Saccharomyces cerevisiae S288C: one gene and its partner. The gene in region 2 interacts genetically with the main gene of each other region. Each region holds a gene or a part of one and is shown on either strand. Other genes may lie near its edges.

Region 1 (12,828 bases), on a different chromosome or scaffold from region 2:
GTACCGTAGGCAGCTTTGATCAGGCGGCCATCCATATACGTCCCGTCTACCTGAGCTATACATCTTGCAGCATCGTCCTTGGATCCGAAGGTTATGTAAACGCCATATCCTGGTGAATGATGGTGATAATGCTCGCTGGTTGTGTTGTTAGAATGGGGTGTTTTTCTATTAACCACAATCTTATTTATCTTACCATATTGGCCAAAATATTTTTCAGATTTCAGAGTGGGCGCAACTTCCTCGTATGGAACAGGAGGATTGATGCCAACAACGTACACTAAATTCTTTTGGATAACTCTGGTACCAGATAAATGTTTCCTATTCGTATATTCATTCTCTTTACGTTCTTTTTCTCTATGCTTTCTTTCTTTCTCCTTCCTAGCGAGCTTGGCTCTCTCCATTTTTAACTCCTCCGGAGATAATGTGACGTATCTGACGTTCTCGTCATCATATTTACGACGACATGCTGGGCAACGGCCATTTAATTCTGGATTTTGTCTGATATTATTGTAGCAAAATTGACAAATTTGATAACCACAGGGACAAGGAAAAAAATTTTTATCAGTAATATCCATTGGTTCAATACAAAGAGGGCAATAATCTTCTTCATCCTCCGATAAAAATGACGTATCAAAATTGCTTAAGGCGTTGTGGATTGCTTGCAAATTTTCTTGAACGTGTGGATTCATCATTATGACTGGATTATATACGATACTTTTATTTGGTCTTTTGTACTTTTTATTAAGTTTTGGGATTGTTGCAGAGTAACAAAAGCAGTAATCTATACTATTCGAACCACTACTGAAAACCCTAGGAGGGCTTTTACTGTATGTAGTACACGTCTTGATATGCTTTTCGGAAATTTTGAAAAGAGAAAGCAAAAAAAAAAATCATATTCACACTTACAATGTTACCCGGGAAGAGACGGCAATCAAGTGGAAGTTCGGGTAATAGCATTCATTTTAGAAGCGTCGATATAATCATCGACCAGGTAGTAGTTTAACAATACATTATCAGGTTTCGCGGCGTAACAGTGATACTACTTTATAGCGTTTCACGTCTTCGGGCTCAACATTTCAATAAAAAAAATTCAAAAAGTTGCTAATCGTAAATCATTAAAGGTACATAAAACTACTTATGAATTTGGGAGGTTAGGATTCAGTACTAACACATTCTCTATGACACAACCTTTAATTTGCGCCTACAGGATGTGTTTTGTAATCGACAAATACCATAGCATCTTCATGTGTGCAAACTACTTGAACGTCTATCTTGAAAGGTCTACCATGGTATTCAGTTTCCTCACCGTAATGCCAGGTGATTTTATCAAATGTCTCTTCCTTCGATTTTTCGTGAAATTTAAGCTCAGGTTTCCTAACGGCTTGCTTAATATCTTTCAAAAGATGCTTTTCAATATGCTGGTGCAGGTGACGCACGAACTTCTTAGAATGAGAATTTGCAGCATCACTAATTTTTTCAGGGTCCTCGTGCGACTCGTGTAGCACAAATGGTGGGTAGTAATTTAATTTACAGTGCAAATGATCGAAATCATCATCTTCAGTTTCATTGGCAATGAAAGTTTCAAAACCCTGCAGGTCTTCAAAAACTTTCACGGTTTCACCATCCTCCGTGGTAACCGTTTGAACTTTTACTTCCTTCTTATCCTTCTTTGTCATTTAAAGTGGAGACGAAAACAGTCGATACCTAATTTATATGTTCTATGGGCAATTATTAGAATACAATGCAGAACTTGTCCCTTTATGAAATGTTTTGACCAAAGAAATTTGAACGTGGAAGAACAAAAGATTCAAATATACGCTAGAAATCTTTTGCCTTATATATGTGCACACAATCAAGTAAAGACACTTGTATTTTTCCACCCAGCAATACCCCTTAAGAACGCTGCCCCTTTCATTCTATATTTAATTAACCATACAGTAACTTATAATACCCCTGATTACAGGATGCATTTGTTATGGAAGTCAATTGCCGAGAGCCGTCCACATTATGCTGGTTGCCTCGAGGATATTATTTTTTAGCACATCCGCAATCTCGCCACACCGCATTTCCGTTCCTTCGGCCCCTGAATCTGGGGTAAAAAAAAAAAAAGCAGTCATCTGGAGATTGTATCACCCAAAAAGAAATACGTTTCTGGCTCGTAACAGGTATGACAACACGTTGTCAGAATACCAAAGTTTAGTCTGAACATTTGACTGCGTGTATATCGGAAACGCTGGATTTTTGGTGCCACCTTCTTCGTTCATGGCATATGTGTAAGTCACGTAGGATTAATGTCATCAATTTCATGAGTTGAGTGAAAGTGCAACTTTACAATGTAGTCAACATACTGCACCGTCATCATTACATATTTCAGATTAAGGGTGATAATGCCGCTTTCATAATTCCTATTGAAACCTTGTATTGGCATATGATACTTCAGGAAGATGTGTTCGGCAATCGTTGCTTTTACTTCGGTACTCTTGACAGATTATGTCATTTATTCGCACCAGTAAGGATGTAGCTCTTGTCTTCTGTAGCCGAATTATCGAAGTTAATGAATAATATTACACACAGCTACAGTTTCAGGAAAAATATGAGACGAGTCGCAAATAAGCGGCCATTGTATACATTATGACAAAGTGAGTGTGATAATTACTGCATGGCCCAATGCATGAAAATATGGGTCAACTTGTACCACATTTGCTACAAATGGACGATAACTGAACTGGGCATAAACAAAATTACTTTTTCCTCGATTTTAGTCCTGCTGATTGAGCTAATAATACATAGCTCGCATGTAATTAATGTTGATATATTAAACTAATAAATAGCACATAACTTATTAATGTAAATTCTAAAGTTTTATATTTGTTTACACCGAAAAAGTACAACTGAGTTCCAAACGTGACAAGGTAAGTTCTGCATCATTCTCACATCAATCTTCAACTAAAGTCCAAAATTTCTAAAAGATTTCGCTTGTCTCGTTCTACCGCTGCCACAAGTGTGTTGTCCTTAAAACTAACGTTCCAAACATTATCAGCACCACTCAATGTATCTGAACGGACTAACAGCCCACTATTTAAATCATAAATATTGAGCAAACCTTCAGATCCACTCACTAATACCTCATCAGAAACGTGCAATGCGGTGATTGTATTCAACTGCGTGTGATCGAAAAAGTGCTTCAGAAAGTAAGTGTTAGCGTCCCAACACCTTATTGAACCGTCTACAGAAGCACTGACTAAAAATTTATCGGATAATCCCAATAAACCGACTAGGGCTCTGTGACCCCGCAAAGTGTACATAGCACCAAGTATTTTGGCGCATGGCGATGCTGAATTTGTTGCGTAGGAACATTCTCCATTATTCCTTATATTTTCCAAATCCCAAATTCTAATAGTGGTATCCATACTGGCAGAGATGCACCTTTTTCTTTCATGATCGTAGATTGTCGAATAAATACGATCCGTATGTCCACTCAAGATATATAGACATTTCATTTGCGCAACATCCCACACAATCAATGTATTATCATAGGAGCCACTAATGGCAATATTACCGTGGCCTGAGACAGTTCTTACAGTCGCCGTATGTCCTCTTAAAACACCAACAAAATATGGGTTCTCCTCAGGGGTATGAAAGACTAATGGATAATCATGTTCTTCCCCATGATCAGGAACGGAGGACTCCTTGGGCAATTTCCAAACGTGCAAAGTGTTATCTCTCGAACCAGTAACAATGTACTTGATATTTTTATATTCTACTATATCTAGGCACCTCACCGTAGAGTTATGACCTTTAAACACATGGGTACAACAACCTTTCTTAATATCTCAAACTCGCACCGTTCTGCCTGTAGAACCGCTGACTAAAATACCGCCATGGGCATACTTCAATGCCCAAACCTCACCATCATGACCTGATAGTTGTAAAAGAAATCTTTTATTTACTAAGTTATAAACTCTGATCGTTTTATCACATCCTCCTGTAATGACATAATTATCTTCAACTTGCAAGCACGCAATAACACTCGTCATATGGCCACTTAACGTGGTCCTTTGAGGTGTATAATCAGGATCAAACAAATTTACCAAAACAGACATTTCAGACACAACTTCCAGTACTTTATTAAAGCTTCGCAGATAGACGTTCTGATATAATTCCAAGGTAATAGAAAGCGATTGCTGTTTAAGTTGAACATGGTTTGCATTGATTTATTTAAACTTCGGGTAAATTGCTGGCTGCAACTTTCATTTAGACGAAAATGCAAAATCAATTGCCCCTTGTTGATAGCTTTAAGTGGAAGCCGTTGACTAGGTTTTAACGGGAGTGTGACTCCAAATGAAAAAATTATTGAAAGCTAAGATTATTTTGCACTATGACATTCTCGATAATCCCTTGGAAAGATTTAAGTGATTAGTCCGAGTACCGATATGGTTGAGAATCAAAGGTTTCTTTTCACAACGGTGACCCCACCATTTGAAAAAAAAAAAAAAATGAAAACGATGGCAACGCCCTTATCTGGCGTGGTTATTACCATAGAAAAGTTTATTCAATGTTTTTGTTATTCTCACTGACACAGACAGCATTTTGGAATATTGCATTCCTAACATATTGCTACATTAGCAATTGAAAGGGCAGTCGGAACTATCACGTAGTTTGAAAATGTCTTCCCGCTTAGCTCATTATGCATAAGCTTGTGCACGGCGTCATGGTCCATTTACTGTACATGGTAAGAAAGTTTTATTCCACCTACACTGATGTTGGCTGGTATGTTGATGGTTTTTGATAATTCACGTGTAATTAAGAACATCGAAACACTATCTGATGTATTTTTTATTGTTGAAATTTCTGACTCGTTTACAACCTACAAGCCCATACTGAGCTAAGTTTGCCATGTGCCCATCTATCTGTATTCGTGTCGAATCGGAAAATTATTATGGTACTTTTGTGTTGGAGATGGACAATAGAACGGTATGATGAGGCTTTGGTATTTTCATTTTAACAAGTGAATTTGAGAATTGGGTGATTTGTGATTATATTTGGGTGCACTGTTGGAAAAGGCTATAATATTACGCATACAGGATATACTGGTAGCATGAATACTACCCCAAATGGATGATATTTTAGGGTTTCATTGTAACAGATATCGGTGGATGTGTTCTTATTTTTATATGTCTCTGATAGTGGTTCTTTTTTGGGAAATTCATAATGATAGGCACTATGGCCGAGTGGTTAAGGCGACAGACTTGAAATCTGTTGGGCTCTGCCCGCGCTGGTTCAAATCCTGCTGGTGTCGTTTTTTTTATTGTTAGAGGTGCCTTGAAAATGCTACATTCATGAAAAGTAGTTGAACTGCTTGGAGACCATATTTACTGGAATATCTTCATATGGTCGAAGGCCGTTTGATGCTTCCAAACTGAATGTTGGGCTGGAATAAATTTTGTAATAGTAGTGCTTCAAATGAATTATTTTTTTTTCATTTTCAATACGCAAATGTAAATGACGCGTACGCTGGGACTGATAAGGTTTGTATTTAGATTCTTCCTGGCCTAAACATTATGTTAACTAGGTTTGTTTTTAGCGCAATTTCATTAGTTCTCAAGGAGCACTACAGATTCTTATTCACTATGGTTTAAGTTATTTCTAGAAAATATAGTGTGATCATCGTCATATATTTTTCGGAATAAAAATTCACACTCACTTATCGACTATTAATCATATTACTAGTATATTACCATATACTCTGTAAGAGGATGACATAAAGAAAGATAACAAAATTAAGAGACAGCCATCAAAATTTAATGGAAGCTGAAATGCATGATTTTGGAAATGTAAAGGATAATGAGTGAGCATATAAAATGGAAGAAAAAATAATAATAGGATTATGTATAAAATATCGATTCCCTTTTGTAGATTTCGAGATCTTCGAGGAGAACTTCTAGCACGTTGTTTACATATCTAATGTTGTAACACGGCCTTTGTTATCTTGTGAATATATCCATCACCTACGTCGCTTGAGGTTTCGTATCAAAGAAAGAGAGTTCAAACATAATCATACGTGTTTCACTCCAAATTTGATCACAAATGGCCACCCATTATAGCTTGTTATTATTTACTTCTTCTTGAGTTCATTTTATTGAAAGATGCCCGCTGGGAACAAAACATAAATAAAATTCAAGAGTACAATATAGCGTAGCATAGTTGCGAGCAAGGGAAGGCAACACAGTTAAAATGACAATGTTAGAAGGAAAAACTAAATCAAGCTCCCATAGGAAATTTCTTGTGTCAGTAATATGTCTCGAGAAAATAATAATAATTGAATCTATTTATTGAAAAGTAAATATCTCGTAACCCGGATGCTTTGGGCGGTCGGGTTTTGCTACTCGTCATCCGATGAGAAAAACTGTTCCCTTTTGCCCCAGGTTTCCATTCATCCGAGCGATCACTTATCTGACTTCGTCACTTTTTCATTTCATCCGAAACAATCAAAACTGAAGCCAATCACCACAAAATTAACACTCAACGTCATCTTTCACTACCCTTTACAGAAGAAAATATCCATAGTCCGGACTAGCATCCCAGTATGTGACTCAATATTGGTGCAAAAGAGAAAAGCATAAGTCAGTCCAAAGTCCGCCCTTAACCAGGCACATCGGAATTCACAAAACGTTTCTTTATTATATAAAGGAGCTGCTTCACTGGCAAAATTCTTATTATTTGTCTTGGCTTGCTAATTTCATCTTATCCTTTTTTTCTTTTCACACCCAAATACCTAACAATTGAGAGAAAACTCTTAGCATAACATAACAAAAAGTCAACGAAAAATGCCTATCCCCGTTGGAAATACGAAGAACGATTTTGCAGCTTTACAAGCAAAACTAGATGCAGATGCTGCCGAAATTGAGAAATGGTGGTCTGACTCACGTTGGAGTAAGACTAAGAGAAATTATTCAGCCAGAGATATTGCTGTTAGACGCGGGACATTCCCACCAATCGAATACCCATCTTCGGTCATGGCCAGAAAATTATTCAAGGTATTAGAGAAGCATCACAATGAGGGTACAGTCTCTAAAACTTTCGGTGCCCTAGATCCTGTCCAGATTTCTCAAATGGCAAAATACTTAGACACAATCTATATTTCTGGTTGGCAGTGTTCATCAACTGCTTCCACCTCAAATGAACCTGGTCCAGACTTAGCTGATTATCCAATGGACACCGTTCCAAACAAAGTGGAACATTTGTTCAAGGCCCAATTGTTTCACGACAGAAAACAACTAGAGGCACGGTCAAAGGCTAAATCTCAGGAAGAACTCGATGAGATGGGTGCCCCAATTGACTACCTAACACCAATTGTCGCTGATGCAGACGCAGGCCACGGCGGTTTAACCGCAGTCTTCAAATTGACCAAGATGTTCATTGAGCGTGGTGCTGCTGGGATCCACATGGAAGACCAGACATCTACAAATAAGAAATGTGGGCATATGGCAGGAAGATGTGTTATACCCGTTCAGGAACATGTTAACAGATTGGTGACTATTAGAATGTGTGCTGATATCATGCATTCTGACTTAATTGTCGTTGCTAGGACTGATTCAGAAGCAGCCACTTTGATTAGCTCAACCATCGATACCAGAGATCATTATTTCATTGTCGGTGCCACCAATCCAAATATCGAGCCATTTGCCGAAGTTTTAAATGATGCCATCATGAGTGGTGCATCAGGACAAGAACTAGCTGACATTGAACAAAAATGGTGTAGAGACGCTGGACTCAAGTTATTCCATGAAGCCGTCATTGATGAAATTGAAAGATCAGCCCTGTCAAATAAGCAAGAATTGATTAAGAAATTCACCTCTAAAGTGGGTCCATTGACTGAAACATCCCACAGAGAAGCCAAGAAGCTCGCTAAAGAAATTCTTGGCCACGAAATTTTCTTCGACTGGGAGCTACCACGCGTAAGGGAAGGGTTGTACCGTTACAGAGGTGGGACGCAATGTTCTATCATGAGGGCCCGTGCATTTGCTCCATATGCTGATTTGGTATGGATGGAATCTAACTACCCAGACTTCCAACAGGCCAAGGAGTTTGCAGAAGGTGTTAAAGAGAAATTCCCTGACCAATGGCTAGCTTACAACTTGTCTCCATCCTTTAACTGGCCAAAAGCCATGTCCGTTGATGAACAACACACCTTCATCCAAAGGCTGGGTGATCTAGGTTACATCTGGCAATTTATCACATTGGCCGGTTTACACACTAACGCTTTAGCTGTCCATAACTTCTCTCGTGACTTTGCCAAGGATGGGATGAAAGCTTATGCCCAGAATGTTCAGCAGAGGGAAATGGACGATGGTGTTGATGTGTTGAAACATCAAAAATGGTCTGGTGCGGAGTACATCGATGGGTTATTGAAGTTAGCTCAAGGTGGTGTTAGCGCAACAGCTGCTATGGGAACCGGTGTCACAGAAGATCAATTCAAAGAAAATGGCGTAAAGAAATAGGACAAGGATTAACCATTAGAACTGCCGGCATTTCCTGACAAGTATATATATTCGTAATCTCAATGTATATTTTTTTCATATATAAACATGCGTACTTAAAAACTTAAACTCATCGTTACTGCAGTACAATGTTCTCTAATGGCATCTCTCTAATGGTACTCCAACTAAAGTCAACATTCTCTCCGTGCAAGAATGCCTTTCTCTAGTTGCAAAAACGAGTCAATAAACATCTTTGATCGAGTCGCCTCATTTTTGTTGACTCGGTGACTAAAATCAGTGCCATTTCTGTCCATGCCTCGTGCGCGAATGATTGAATCGAACTAATCCCGAACACAATCATAGTATCGTATCGCCCATTAGTGCCGTGAGTGTACGCGAGGCAAAAGGCACCATGGAAAATATTCCCTTAGTCATCTTGGAAATCATTGAGACTGTAAAGGAACTCGCAAACGGGTAACCGATATTTACCCCACCTTTGGTCGAGAAATTCCACCTGTTCGGCAATTTTTGCCGCTCTTCTCAAGAGCAAAAGGCGTTTTTTTTTCTGACACGCCTCTTCTCTCGCATGCCAAACTCAAGCGTCCTACATGCTTTTCTCATGAAAGCCAAGTGCGGGATGAAAAACATAAAATGTGACAAATAGTGCCACCTCATAATGTAATCGAGAGGCAAAATTAATCACTTTGTTCTCCCTTTTCTTTTTTCTGGGCGCTCAAAGTGAGATGCTTTCTGTAGAAAATAACATGGCCGTTAGAAGGTACTCGTCATCTTTTAGCTGCCGCATACATGTACACACACACACACACACACACGCACGCACATATATATATATATATATATATATATATATATATATTAAACATGATGGCAAAAAACCGAACTAAGTGCTCCTGTTCTATTTTTATATTCTTGCTTTTCATATTTCTCTAGCTGTATATTACCTTTAGCATATTCAAACATCTTAACCGGAAAATATCTCAGCAAAAAAAACAGCAACAGTCAGAGTAAAAATTGCAAGATGATTGACGATACTGAGAACTCCAAAATTCATTTGGAAGGTAGCCATAAAACAGGAAAGTATACGGGCTATGGTACTACACATAAAATCAGAGCTCAGTTAAACTTTAATGATGAAAAGAAATGGAAGAAGTTTTCTAGCAGAAGACTAGAACTCATTGACTCATTTGGCTTGAGCCAGCACAAAGCAAGTGAACAAGATGATAATATAAGACAAATAGCCACCATATTAAGGAGTGAATTTGAGTACCCTGATACGTTTTCGGCAGAATTTGAAAAGTTGGTTACCGCTGCTGTTCAATCGGTGAGAAGAAACAGGAAACGTTCCAAGAAAAAATTATTAGACTCTAAGAAGAAAATAGCCCGTGGTAAAGTTCAAAAAATTCCTTTGTCTCCCCCCAGCTCAAGTAATATGGGGTCTTGTTCAGCTTCCAATGCATCAAGCTCTGACGAAGAAGCCAGCGTGAAGGAAGAACCTGCTGAGCACGCTCTTCCTTCTCTTAATACTATAACATCACAAAAATTGTTACCTTATCCGAATGGCCGCACTCTTCCACCTGTACCAACTCAAGTTCGCTCTTTACTTAAGAAGAACGCATCTCTTCTTCGTGATCCATCGGCACCGTATGCGCACGGCGGCGATGAAAAATTACAAAAGTTTGATATAGAAGATCAGCCTCTAGAAAGTGAACAAGAATACGACTTTATTGCCAAATCAATAATTGTTGAAATTGTAAATAATGCTATTCCACTACCTGAACAAATTCAAAGAGATAAGTTCATTAGACCAAATTTAACGAAAAAAAAAGGGTGCCAAAGCAAAGTTGTAATATCCAACAACTTGAGAAAACTCATCCTGTCAAAGATACATAACTCAAGGACGTGCTTGGAGATGTCTAAGGATGAAAGAAATTTGGATTCTTTTGCTAATCTAGAAACGCTGGGCAAAAATTCACTAATGGCTTCCATTTCCCTTGTGGTAGAAAACAGCTTTTCACATTTACCGTCTTCTACTAAGCAATATCTTACTGAACGGCTGTCATCAATCGAATTTTTGACTATTCTATCGCAAAGGCTATTTATGCCCGCTACACGTCAACTATTCGCTGACCTATCACAAGAAAAAATTCAGGTGAGAGTGCTGAATCTCATACTGGGATCTCTTGTCAAAGATTATGGGTTTGATGCATCTTTGGCACCAATCAACGAAATTATCTATCACATGACACTCCATCAATATCCCTTGGTTTGTAGTAATAAACAGTCCAATCCAATGAGGCCACACTCCACATCTGAGGTCTTGAGTGCACATTCTTCAACGAAAGATGCAAGCACTCCCGGTAAAGAAGAGCCTCGAGTGACGAGGTCAAGCACATCGGCAGATAGCACTATCATTACATTGCCTTCAATTGAAGTCCCAAATACGTACGATGATGACAGGTTAAAGATGTTGAGCGCGATATCGTTGCAGATTGAAAATTCCACCTTTTCCAAACCATTCAGTACTATTTCAAAATAAATAGGCCCGCTTGCATCATCCCCACCTGCATTACTATGAACTATTTATCATAGCTTATTTTTCCTCTATCATCATTGTAACTTGTACAAGAATGTTCAGTCTGTAAATCTCGCCGCTCATTCTCTACTAGCACTTTACAACGTTGACAGCCACTGTATGTGTAATACAGTGAACCGCCGACTCTTCGGATTTAATAACACAGATTTATTTAGAATAATCTACACATGTTTACGTATGCAACAAATTTTGCACCTTCATATACAAACAACTGCGGTCGTTTAAAAAGTGGGAAAGAACCGAAACTAGAATGAAAAACTCCACCAAAACGGCTTGAGCCTTTATCTTCTGTAACCAGAGCGGTTGCCTCTCCTGTTTTTACTTACTCTGGAGCGGTTGTTTGCATTTTTGTTTCTATTTTTAAATTTACCGTTATTGCCACTTTCAGGTTCATTTTTCCTACTGACAAGGCCCAGTTCTTCAGCCAACTTGCTATTCAAGTCAACACCAAACTTCTCCACACGATTTATCTGTCTTTGTAAAGAGTCAATATCCGCTTGATCTTGACCGAATTTGTTAGCGCGGTGCAGTTTCTTATTTAAAAGATCCAATGCTTTGGCCTTAATTTCTTCTGGTGACAAAGCGGGAGCAGCAGTGGAAGCAGCAGCTTGTTCGTTCTCTGAAGCAGTAGCAGAAGGTCCATCAGAGGGCTTTTGAACGTCCTTATTTTCCTCCTTGGGTTCGTTTGTTTCTTTAGGCTCGCTTGAAACTTCCTTTTTTTCAGTAATGTTCTGGGAGGCTGGTTCTTCTATCGCCGCAGGTTCTGACCCTTGTTCCTGGTTTTGTTCCTGTGGAGAAACTTCACTTTCACCCTTTGATTCTTCATCGTCCTTTATCAGTCTTTGAACTAGTTCATTCTTCAATCCGCCTACAGACAGATTTCTCTTGGTCAGTAAATCTTTCAATTGAACAACAGTAAGGGAAGAATAATCTGCCATTGTAAGTGCTTGTGCTGGCTCCAAGAACAATTCTAGTGGTGAAAAAAATTCTATTCAATATACAGATATCTTTGTAACTTCTGAAAGTAGCGCATCCTGAAAGGACACATTTGAAGAGTCACTATTCAACTTTCTTCTCCCATTCAGCATTATCACGCCCTTCCACCAACGCTGGTTGCATTGTGTTTTCTTACTTCGGCTAGAGACGCCGGGTAATAAAATATATATCCTCGAATGAACCGCTGGCCTCGGCCATTTTCATATGACTTCATATCATTAATATGGCCGTAGGTTAAGCAATGCTACGTGAAAGATACCAATTCCAATCGTCTGCTTTCTCTCAAGAGGAGACTTTGCGTTCTTTAAAGGAGCAGAGAAAGAGGGAAACGGTGAAAAACTTCAATATTGATAACATCCATCAGCGTCTAAATTCCTATGCCTCCTTCGAAAATGGTCAATGTTATACCCTCTCCCATTAGATATTACCGTAGCGTACGTATTTGGCCCTGTCCTTTGGGGTTTGGCCTTCTCAAGTATTTTGGCACCTCGCCCTGAACGAAAAGCTGGCACTTTGTCCCCAGCCAAACTCTTCTCTCTAATATCGTCTTTAACGACAAGGTAAAAAGATTTCTGCAGTGTTCCGTCTGCGTCATCATCTGTGCCCCACAATCCGCGGCGTTTCCGTGTAAGCCGTCAAGTGAGGACTTTTCGGATGCTGAAAGAAAGTACGCTCGGAAAAACTACATAGCTGCCCCCCTAAACGGGCCTCCCACGTGACGTAAAGTAGGAATAATAA
Region 2 (11,639 bases):
CAGTACCCTAATACCAACACAAAGCCCGTGAACAGTTACAACTTAATAAGTGCAAACCAAAATAACGCTAACTGGATGATGCCAATGTTCCCATCATTTGGGTTTATTCCACAGGTGCCGCCAGTGCCCTATATAATACCTCCGCAGAATCCTGCAGCAAATCATATTCCTATAATGGCAAACGGTAGTAATGAAGAGGAAGAATTTTCTAGTGGTGATTATTCTATGGACTACTAGATTGCATCAGGTCCATAAAATGTTTTTGTCTGCTTTTTTTTCTTCATGTATTAGTTGGTTTTTATTTTTATATTTTCATTTATCTTATTCATACTTTTTACTCCTTTTTTCTTCATTCTTTACGATCTTGGACATTCAACTAGCCTATGGTAACTTTTCTTATTACTTTGCCCCTCCTTGAGGTGAGTAAATTCTGCATCTATTTTTTTACTATGCAAAGGATAGATAAACAATTCACATGAATGTCAAAATTTTGAAAAACACTCATTATTCAAAAAGATTGCATAAAAAGATATACACTTAAAGTGCAAGATTATACCAACTTTCAGAATACGGAGAGGTTTTTAAGTGGATGAGCATTTTTTCATAACGTTCTAAAACGATATTTACAGTATTTGGTGGCTAAATGAAAAAAAGCCGTATCATGACTGTGCTAGAGAAAGTGTGGCAGTTACATAAATCAAAAGATACAATTTAGGTGCGGCCTCTATAGCCAATGCATGCTCACTGAATAGCACAACAAATTTTTGTTTGGCTAAAGCGATATCCTTTTCGACTTGCAGTTCCACTGCAAGTCGAGTATATTTCGGCAGACAATGTCATTCAAATATCTTGCCTACACTAAGAAATATGTCTCTCTTCTACAAATGTTCAAGTTAGGACATGCCGTAAATATGAAAATATTTGAGCAGATCAACCTTTCTAGAGTTTAAACATTGAAGTTTCCAATGGTCTGATACAAGCAAGCAATATGATTTAAAGAACTCCTTAATAACAACTGCTACAATTACTTTAGCTAGCTAGTACAGCAGGCAATAGGCATTTAACGCTTACACCTATTTTGCCTGTCTTTTTTTTTTTCTGACCTATTTTCGGCTCTTCTGCAGCTATTTTTCTTCATTTTTCCAATCCTAATCCGGAAAACTGAAGAAATTTACATCTTGGTGAATGCACTCTCCTCCGAACGCGTCTGAATAAATGATGTAACCTTAAAACTTTAAAAATAATGCGGATAACCTAAACAACCCTCTTAGATAAACATCAAGAAGTAACATGCTCATAAATACGTCTCGAATGATTCTAGTATTTAAAAAGCACGGAAGGAACGCCTTGAGAGGACGGAACAAGGCAATGGTTGCAGGCGATAAAGAATCAAGAGGCAACCCTCAAGCTTCCAGCCAGTGGAAGAAAACAGAGATGAAAGAAAAGGAGTGAAGTGCTTGCATAGAAGAGCAATACGTGGCAACAAAGTCCCGAACTTGCCTAAAAAAGCATAATTTAATTACATTTATTTAACTTTATTGCTCCTTCTTTCAAAAGTCGGAAGCGCGCGAGTAAAAAAAATTACAGAGCGAAGGAGAGGCGAAGGATAGATGGGGAACGAAATTATTGTTTTATTTTTCCTTTTTTGTTGGAATGTTAAGCGGATCCTTGCTAAAAGATCTGCTCTACTTTCTTACATTTGAAATTTTTAAAGTTTTCTCAAAAAAAAAAAAAAAATTGGAGAACAAGCGCAGCCGGAATGAAAAAGGCCATAATTTATGTTAAATTAATCATAAGAAAAATTGATAATAGCAAACATAGCTTGTGATTCTTTTTCTTTCGGTTTGTGAAATAATTGCATTCTTCCCCCTTGTATCTAGTATGCAAAAATATGGAGAATGTTCGTTCTTCCCTACGTTCACTGAATGTTCCTTGGTATCAACAGCGGTAACAGTTTGTTCAGTTGGATGCGATGTGTTCTGTTGAAAATAATTCAGTAAGATGCTGGTTTAGTGGCGACTTCACCTTTCGTGATTATAGGTATACTCTTGGGAATTATGCTGGACGTCAGAGAAGTTAAGGTCGATGATGTATTCGTAGTCTCTTGAAGGGGTAGGGCAGTTGTTTTAACAGATTGCATAGACATCCATTTACTTTCAAGTTGAATGATTTCCTCCTTGGAATTCTGTAATAGGGATAAGCTTGTTCGAAGGTCTTTGTTCATGGCATCATTAGTTAGAGTTTTATTTTCATCTTGCGATGCGCTGTTAATATGTTTTTCTATCAAATCAGTGATTGTTGATAGAGAGTTCTTTAAAGTTTGTATATGGTTATCCAAAGCTTGCCTTTCACTTATATTGCTTTTTTTGGGTAGTGTTACATTATTATTACAAACTCCTAAAGCAGGTGAGTTAGAAGCAGAGTTCGAAAGAGAGTTCATCATTGAGGGAAATGGAGTGGAGTAACTGCTATATGGCGGGACTGTAGGGAGCGGTTGCTGCTGCTGCTGCTGCTGCTGGGCAAAAGCTCCAGGATGATACGGCATTGGGTAATTAACAATTGGCAAGGAAGTTGTTTTCAGATCATCTGTCGAAGATAGTGTTCCTGATTTCTTCATCGGAGGTCCAGATAATGCTTGTGGAGAAAGTACTTGTTGCGGCTGCTGAGGCTGGACTATGCTATCTTGGGTGGAAAATTGATTGGGATAGTCATAAGAATTCATCATCCTCGCCGAGATGCTTTGCCTTCGCATCATGTTCACCGTGGGTTGTTGAGGGGGCAGTGAAGATATTAGGTAAGGTCCACTACTTTGTTGCTGTTGCGGTATACTGATATGTGGAGGACTTTGGGATGTTGAGTAATGGACGGGACTGCCCATAAACATGTTTGATGGTTCTCTTGCAGAAACTGGTCCGGATTGCTGAGAGAGAACATTTAACCTCGAAGCATCAACGTAACTGACAGATATTGGTGACAGTATATTCTTTCTTTTACCATCTTTTCCCACACCAGTGCTCTTTCTTTGGATTTTATTCAAGATACCGGCGTTGGCCTCTTTGAAGAAGAATCCAGATGGGTGGGTAAATTTCCATTCAACAAGTTCTTTAACGTTACCATTGTTGGCAGAAGATTGGTCTGGGGAAGGATGAGATAGTTTATGAAACCCGTACATGTGTAGTTGACGAACAAAACTATTGACATTTCCATGTTTGAAATAACGCTTCAGAACATGTGTACTAAAATTAGGGTCATATGGCTTCAAAAAAAATACCGTGTTATCAGTCGGAGACCAGTATATCCATTTATTTACTTCCGGTTCCAGAAGAATTGCATGAAGTTGGTGGACGAAAGTTTTAGGTTGCATGTGGCCACCGGTTCTCTGAGCTATTGTATTTTATGGCGTGGGTGAAAATTCAATATAGGGGTTACAGCTGCCTAACCTTAAAGCGTGTAAAGGAGATCTAGATCTTCTGCAATGATCAGCTACTACCAATATATATATATTGGAAAAAAAGGTAAGTAACGACGTATCAAGATAAAACCCCAAAGGAAGAAAGATGCAACCGAAAGGAAAGCATGGAAAACTTCGAGCTATTCACTACCTGATTACTTCAACGTTAATGAATACCCTAAACGTGATAAGTTTGTGCTTTTCCTTCGATATGGATATCTACTGCCTTCCATTTTCTGCTCTACGGGTCAACAACTGAAAGATTATTTTTTCGGTTCCTCCTTTTTCTTCTCGAAAAAAAGCTTAAATCTTTCAAAGACAAAAAAGAAAGATTGCACCAAATCAGCGCAGAAGGCAGCAACCAGAGAGACGGGGGCGCAGAGTCAACATCATATACGTAACAAGTTGTTCAGGGCGGATCGCTTCACGTCATACAAAGGCGCGGATATGCACTAATCTGCAAATCTCGCAGTCACCGTAAGCCCAAGCCAAAGCGAACCATCGGTGCTAAATCGGCCCGCCCGACTGAGACGCACAGATTCCTACGCAGGCTCTCCTTGTGCCGCCCACGGAGTATTCCGTTCACCCAAAAAAAAATAAAAAACGAAAGGGGCAGACCAGGGGCAGACCAAAGGAGGGGAATTACCGGCGTGGCTAATATTCCTTATTTTGCTTAGAGCACCTTCCGTTCCGCCGCCGCTGCTTCCTAATCTGGGGCCAGGAAACGTCTGCGGCGGGCCAGATTCATTCTCGAGCCAGGAGAACTGCGTAGCTTGCGATAAAGGGGCGAAATTAACCCTTCCATGCAGCTGGCCCGAAGCAATTTTATATTTCGTGTGCTCGCCAAAAAAAAAAACCCTGCTGCGTCCCTTATTCTATTTCCATGGAAATTTCCGTTAGCGCTGTTTTGCAGGTGGTTCCGAGTCATAGCATTAAGATTAACGCGTTGTAACGGTATCACCGGGTGAGCTATGTTTTTCTTTTAAGTTATGCAACCTTCGCGGAGGCTCGGTTGCTTACGGAACTTTTAAGGTTGAGTTTGCCTTCGGTACCCCTTTCCTTTCTGCTGTCAATTCTTCTAGAAGAACTGGGTTTATGCTTCGGGAGTAAGCTCCAACATACGCTGTAAAGAAGACAGTTGTCATTTATTTATTATTATGTAATGTAATTAAGGTTGTCTGTCGTGATTAACGGAGCCAGTTTCGTATAAAGACGAGTGTAATTAGCAGTTTTCAGGAATCAAGGCGCCAGCTTCGTCGTCGAGAAACCAAGTTACTTTGGTTCCGACCATTTCATTAACCAGCACACTAGGTAGTTCGCTATTTTTTACGATTAACACGTCATGCATGATAGCCTTTTTAGCAGCTCCCCTAACGAGAAAGCACACACTTTTAGCCTCGGCTACTACTGCTAATGTAAAGGTGATCCTGTCCTTGGGTGCCTTGGGCGAATTATTACACCATAAAACCTTGCGGTCCATCTCTTCTACAAGGTAATTAAATTCAACCCCGGGAAACAACGAGCATGTATGTCCATCTTCTCCGCATCCGAGTAAGATTAGGTCGAATGATGCAGGCAGCATGGAAGCGTATTCTTCGGCAATCTTTCTATTGGCCGTTTCACCGCCACCGATTAATGATTCGTTGATAGTGTATACAGTGGGGCCTAAGTTCAATTGGTTGCCCTGATGCACTAGCGGGTCCAAAACTGTTTTTTTGAACTGACCATAGTTACTTTGCGGATCCTCAAATGGAACCAATCTTTCGTCACAGAAGAAGATTCTCCATTGTGGCCACTTAATATGTGGAAAAATGTTTTTGTCATTTACCAAACTTTCGTACAGCGCTTGGTTCATCGATCCTCCACTGATGGCGATATTGAACACTGCATCAGCGTCGCCCGTTAACGCCGATTCTTGCTTTTCAAGGATAAACTTGCCGAATTCGTGTATGAGGCTTTTCTTTTCGCTAAACCTTTGTAATTTCACCATTTTTCTTGAGGTGGTTGTGGATTATTTGATGAATGGCATTCTTTGTTTGGAAAACTGCTGCGATAAGACTACGTTCTTCGTCATTTCTTAAATATTATGGATCTTACAATTTTCGCTGCTTAGGGGGGGATTTTTTTAATTTTCAAGGGATTTCCATCCCTTGCGAAGGCAAGCGATCAGTATACGTAAATCTCTAACTAGAACATTTTCAAGTATTGACAGATATGAAAAAAAAAAAAAAAAAAAAAATTCTATATAATTACTTACAGTGCACATAAATGTATGCTTAAACGTCCACCCGTCCCAATACCTCCCATTCTTGAACGGGCCCCACACAGTTGACCACTTTAAACGTTCCTGGGATATTCCAAGATAGCGATGAAGATACGTCAAAATCCCATCTCATTTGCACTTCATTGGACCCATCAGCGTTTCCGGAACCCTTACGTTTCTCTCTTGGAACTAGTTGCACGTCTAGAGCATCTTCAATTCTTTGTTGAACTACTCGCAATGACGCCTGACTTACCGGATGAATATCCGAATAAAGCAATGAGACGTGAGGATGGAATTCCTCGTGCACCCAAGTGGCGGCACGGCTACTTCGCGTCTCAGGATCGATCTCTACGTACATCTCTCTCATGACTTGTGCGACCCCATAAAGTATTTTGTTCTTGTTACACTCGAGCACAATTTTCTTGAAATATTGTTTACCTACACTGCATCCATTGAAAGATACCAAAGGAGCTGCAACAGCATGGGATACCTGTCCCTTACGTCCTTTCTTTGCTGTTTGGTGTGACCTTATCGATTGGATGGCAGCAACACAGGAGGTCAAGATTTTGTTGACATCATCTTTACTATTGCACACCAAATGGGACGTTACCGTCACATGAGGTTCAAAAACTGGTGAATCTGGGAACAACGTTTGAAACGAAAATATAAGCATCTGTAATGTCTCGTAAGCAACTGATCCTTGTGGTGGACAATACCATAATGCTATTGCCATTTTTCTGTGGTTACTGATATTAGCAAATTGAAGTATCGCGAATTCCCAAACTAGAATAATTACAATTGATGGTAAAATAAAATGATAAAATAATCTGATTAGATTCTTGGTATCTCAAAAGTGACTTTGATAACTTCTTGATTGTTTGTGCCCCTGCTTACGAATTGGGTTCTTATTAAACTTCACCTGCATCGCTTCTCCATCGGATCTAACCTAAAAAAAATAAAAACCCCCCGGTAAGCACTTGATCACGCCTACAAAATCACTTAGTGAACAAAGGAAAATAGATTGTTTTTAAAGTTGTGAAGTAGTGAACTATGGCTTCCCACATACACATATATACTGATACAGATGCAATATAACATTTAGTGTTAGAAAAATTTGCTTCTATCTTGATGACATTGAATACTCTTGGACGTAAAAAAAGACATCCGATTAAAGTGGAGGTAATCTACAAGAAAAGTTGTTCTTCCCCTCATTAGAAATCTTGCAATGGTCACGGCCGTCGCTATCAAAAATCAACGAAGTGAAGTGACTCTAATTTTTGTCTATTAATGTTGCGATGGCCTTATTTGCTATTCTAAGGTTTTCGCGAAGTATCAGGTATGATAAAAAAAATCATATTTTTGATCGCATCAAGAACAATCCCAATGGTAAAAACGGTAATAAAAAAGAGTCCATAGTCATATACCAATGCCAGTGTGTAAGAACTGTCACGGAACCGAATTTGAGAGAGATCTTTCCAATGCTAACAACGATTTAGTTTGTAAAGCTTGTGGTGTTGTCTCAGAAGATAATCCTATCGTCTCTGAAGTTACATTCGGTGAAACAAGTGCAGGTGCTGCTGTAGTACAAGGTTCTTTTATCGGTGCAGGACAAAGTCATGCTGCATTTGGTGGTTCTAGTGCTCTAGAATCTAGAGAAGCCACATTGAACAATGCAAGAAGGAAATTACGCGCCGTTTCTTACGCATTACATATCCCGGAATATATCACAGATGCTGCTTTCCAATGGTATAAGCTTGCATTGGCTAATAACTTTGTACAAGGTCGTAGGTCCCAAAATGTTATCGCTTCATGTCTTTACGTTGCATGTAGAAAGGAAAAGACGCATCATATGCTGATCGACTTCTCTTCAAGGTTACAGGTGAGTGTGTATTCCATAGGAGCCACATTTTTGAAAATGGTAAAGAAATTACATATCACAGAATTGCCGTTAGCGGATCCTTCCTTATTCATTCAACATTTTGCCGAAAAATTGGATCTTGCTGACAAGAAGATCAAAGTGGTAAAAGATGCCGTAAAATTGGCTCAAAGAATGTCCAAGGACTGGATGTTTGAAGGACGTAGACCTGCAGGTATTGCCGGCGCATGTATTCTACTAGCTTGCAGGATGAATAATTTGAGAAGAACTCATACAGAGATCGTCGCAGTTTCACATGTCGCCGAGGAAACTTTACAGCAACGGTTGAACGAATTCAAAAATACAAAGGCTGCTAAACTTTCAGTTCAAAAATTTAGAGAAAATGATGTGGAAGACGGTGAGGCTAGGCCTCCCTCCTTTGTGAAGAACAGAAAGAAAGAAAGAAAAATAAAGGACTCTTTAGACAAAGAAGAGATGTTTCAAACAAGTGAAGAAGCATTGAATAAAAATCCAATTTTGACGCAAGTATTAGGAGAACAAGAACTGTCTTCCAAGGAAGTCCTGTTTTACTTAAAACAATTTTCAGAAAGAAGGGCCCGTGTTGTGGAGAGGATTAAGGCTACTAATGGTATAGATGGTGAAAATATATACCATGAAGGTTCTGAAAACGAAACAAGGAAACGCAAACTTTCTGAAGTTTCTATCCAGAACGAGCATGTTGAAGGGGAAGACAAAGAGACGGAAGGGACTGAGGAAAAAGTCAAGAAGGTAAAGACAAAAACATCAGAAGAAAAGAAAGAGAACGAATCTGGGCATTTTCAAGATGCCATTGATGGTTACTCTCTAGAAACAGACCCATATTGTCCTCGCAATTTACACTTGTTACCCACAACGGACACATACCTTTCGAAAGTTAGTGACGACCCAGATAATTTAGAAGATGTTGATGATGAGGAGTTAAACGCGCACCTATTAAACGAGGAAGCTTCTAAATTGAAGGAAAGAATTTGGATTGGTCTGAACGCAGATTTCTTACTTGAACAAGAGAGTAAACGTTTGAAACAGGAGGCAGATATTGCCACAGGTAACACATCAGTGAAAAAAAAACGTACGAGACGTAGGAATAATACTAGAAGTGACGAACCTACAAAAACTGTGGATGCAGCAGCAGCTATCGGATTGATGTCAGACTTACAAGATAAGTCTGGTTTACACGCTGCATTGAAGGCAGCTGAGGAAAGTGGTGATTTCACAACTGCTGATAGTGTCAAGAACATGTTGCAGAAGGCAAGTTTCTCCAAGAAGATTAATTACGACGCCATTGACGGTTTGTTTAGGTAACGTTTAGGTAATCAACCCTAGGAAGGAAAAAGGGAACGGAAATAAAGACGCAATACATTTGGTTTTGGCTAAAATATATAGAACATGAAGTGCAAAAGAATTAAAGGTGCATTAACTATTTAATATGTATGTGATTATATAAATCTAAAATCTCAATGTCGTAACAATCACTGTTCCATTAAAAAAACGGGTAAGGTGGAAATTTCAGTTTTTTTTTTTTTTCTTTTCTTTTGCTTGATCGGCTAAAAAATGAAAATTTTAAACTCATCTCATCGCAGATAACCATAACACGCTTAACAGATAGAACGTTCTACCACTAAAAAAACATATCAAACGTCACTTTTTTGAATAAGTAATAATAGTTAAGGAGGAAGCACAAGACGCACTGAATATACCAATCAAGGGCATCAACAATGGGTAGAAGAAGTAGAGCAGCTATGCTCCCAACAAATATCATTCTTTTACAGAATTTGGTAAAGCGTGACCCAGAGTCCTATCAAGAGGAGTTTCTTCAACAATATGCACATTATGAATCGCTAAGGGACATTTTTATGTTAAATGGGCTTGCTGGAGGTGATTCTGCAGCTGCCACTAATGGGCTCGATGTAGGAAATGGATCTTCTACAATGGCAGGTACTAACGGTACCACCATGAGCACTTCAACTTCGCAACTTATTGAATTGGTTGGCTTCGTATCTCAAGTCTGCTCATGTTTTCCTCGTGAAACTGCAAACTTCCCGTCTGAATTAAAGCAGCTTTTGCTGGAACACCATAAGTCCTTGCCATTTGAATTGAAAGAAAAAATCTTAAGTTGTTTGACGATGTTAAGGAATAAGGACGTCATTACTGCTGAGGAATTAATTCAAAGCTTATTTCCTTTATTGGTTGCTTACTCTTCCCATGGTAATTCACTCGGCGTTAATTCACACGCCAAGGAATTGAGGAAAATCATTTATACAAATTTAATTTCTTTATTAAAAAGTTGTAATACTAATGGTAAAAATCAAAAATTGAACAAATCTACGCAGGCCGTTTGCTTTAATTTGTTAGATCAACCAGATTCCCAGGGAATCTGGGCCACAAAATTAACCAGAGAACTTTGGAGACGTGGTATTTGGGATGATTCAAGAACAGTAGAAATTATGACCCAAGCAGCATTACATCAGGATGTTAAGATTGTCATGTCTGGTGTGATGTTTTTTTTGGATGCTGACAGAGAACGTGAAGAAAATTTTGAAGAAAATTCCGAGGATGAGGATGGGTTTGATTTAGATGCATTAAGGCATAAGATGCAAGTCAATAAAAAAACGGGTAGACGTGGTAAGAAGCTGGAGAATGCCATAAAAACTGTGAAGAAGAAGAAGAAGAACGGACCGGGTGCTCCTCAAGGGTATTTAAACTTCAGTGCTATCCACCTTTTGAGAGATCCACAAGGATTTGCCGAAAAATTGTTTAAGGAACATCTTTCAGGCAAAACGAAAAACAAATTTGACATGGAACAAAAAATATCTTTGATGCAGCTGTTATCAAGGTTGATTGGTACCCATAAGTTAATTGTTTTAGGAATTTATACTTTTTTTTTAAAGTACTTAACTCCGAAACAAAGAGATGTTACAAGAATTATGTCCGCATGTGCCCAAGCATGTCATGATCTTGTCCCTCCTGAAGTTATAAATGTCATGGTGAGAAAGATTGCAGACGAGTTTGTATCAGACGGTGTTGCCAATGAAGTCGCTGCTGCAGGCATTAATACCATTAGAGAAATATGCTCTCGTGCACCTTTGGCTATCGATGAGATTCTACTACAGGATCTGGTAGAATATAAGGGGTCTAAAGCTAAAGGTGTCAATATGGCTGCCAAGTCATTGATAGCGTTGTATAGAGACGTGGCACCAGAAATGCTAAAGAAGAAGGATCGTGGTAAGAATGCCGCCATGGAAGTACAAGAAGCCAAGAAAGGAGGTAAAGATTCAAAAAGACCGCAATTTGGTGCCGACAACAGTGTTCAAGGGATTGCTGGTATCGAACTGTTAGCCAAATGGAAGAAAGAACATGGTGAAGAGAGTGAAAATGAAGACGCTGATGCCAACTGGGAAGTAGATGTCGATAGCGAAGAAGACGATGTCGACGGTGAGTGGGTCACCATGGATAGTGATAAAGAATATGACGTTGATATGGAAGATAGTGACGATGAAAAAGACAATGCTAAGGGCAAGGAATCAGATTCCGATTTGGAACTAAGCGATGATGACGATGAAAAAGAAGTGAAGGATGAGCAAGAAGATGCAGATATAGATCCCGAAGCTGCCTTCCGTGAAATTGCTTCTACACGTATTTTAACTCCGGCAGATTTCGCTAAACTACAAGAATTGCGTAATGAGGAAAGCGTTGCTAAAATAATGGGTATCCACAAACAAGACAAGCGTGAAGAGTTAGTTGATGCAAGTACACTAACAGGCCCTATCAAATACAAACAGTCTCGTGAGGAAAGATTACAAAAGGTGTTGGAAGGTCGTGAAGGTAGAGACAAATTTGGTAGTAGACGCGGTAAGCGTGACAACATGCGTTCTACTACCAACAGAGAAAAAGAAAGAAGGAAGAACTTTGTTATGTCTATTCACAAGAGATCTGTTAGAGGTAAACAAAAAATGTCACTACGAGACAAGCAAAAAGTGTTACGTGCACACATCACCAAACAAAAGAAGAAG

The links.
Region 1: mutations in SOL4 (region 2) and ICL1 together harm fitness less than expected from each alone (positive genetic interaction), as found in Saccharomyces cerevisiae (one large-scale study listed by BioGRID).

What each region holds. Positions count from the first base shown.
Region 1 is NC_001137.3:280,914-293,741, reverse strand, and holds ICL1 (isocitrate lyase 1), read left to right. Parts: upstream 1-6,827; coding exon 6,828-8,501; downstream 8,502-12,828. Other genes in the region: CCR4-NOT core ubiquitin-protein ligase subunit MOT2, read right to left, coding at 1-692; RGI1 (Rgi1p), read right to left, coding at 1,191-1,676; RRT13 (Rrt13p), read right to left, coding at 2,943-3,500; VHR2 (Vhr2p), read left to right, coding at 9,520-11,037; THO1 (Tho1p), read right to left, coding at 11,376-12,032. UniProt on the Saccharomyces cerevisiae protein: Catalyzes the formation of succinate and glyoxylate from isocitrate, a key step of the glyoxylate cycle, which operates as an anaplerotic route for replenishing the tricarboxylic acid cycle.
Region 2 is NC_001139.9:979,774-991,412, reverse strand, and holds SOL4 (6-phosphogluconolactonase SOL4), read right to left. Parts: upstream 5,442-11,639; coding exon 4,674-5,441; downstream 1-4,673. Other genes in the region: RIE1 (Rie1p), read left to right, coding at 1-237; MGA1 (Mga1p), read right to left, coding at 1,994-3,364; CPD1 (2',3'-cyclic-nucleotide 3'-phosphodiesterase), read right to left, coding at 5,728-6,447; transcription factor TFIIIB subunit BRF1, read left to right, coding at 7,141-8,931; SDA1 (Sda1p), read left to right, coding at 9,345-11,639. UniProt on the Saccharomyces cerevisiae protein: Involved in the pentose phosphate pathway via hydrolysis of 6-phosphogluconolactone to 6-phosphogluconate.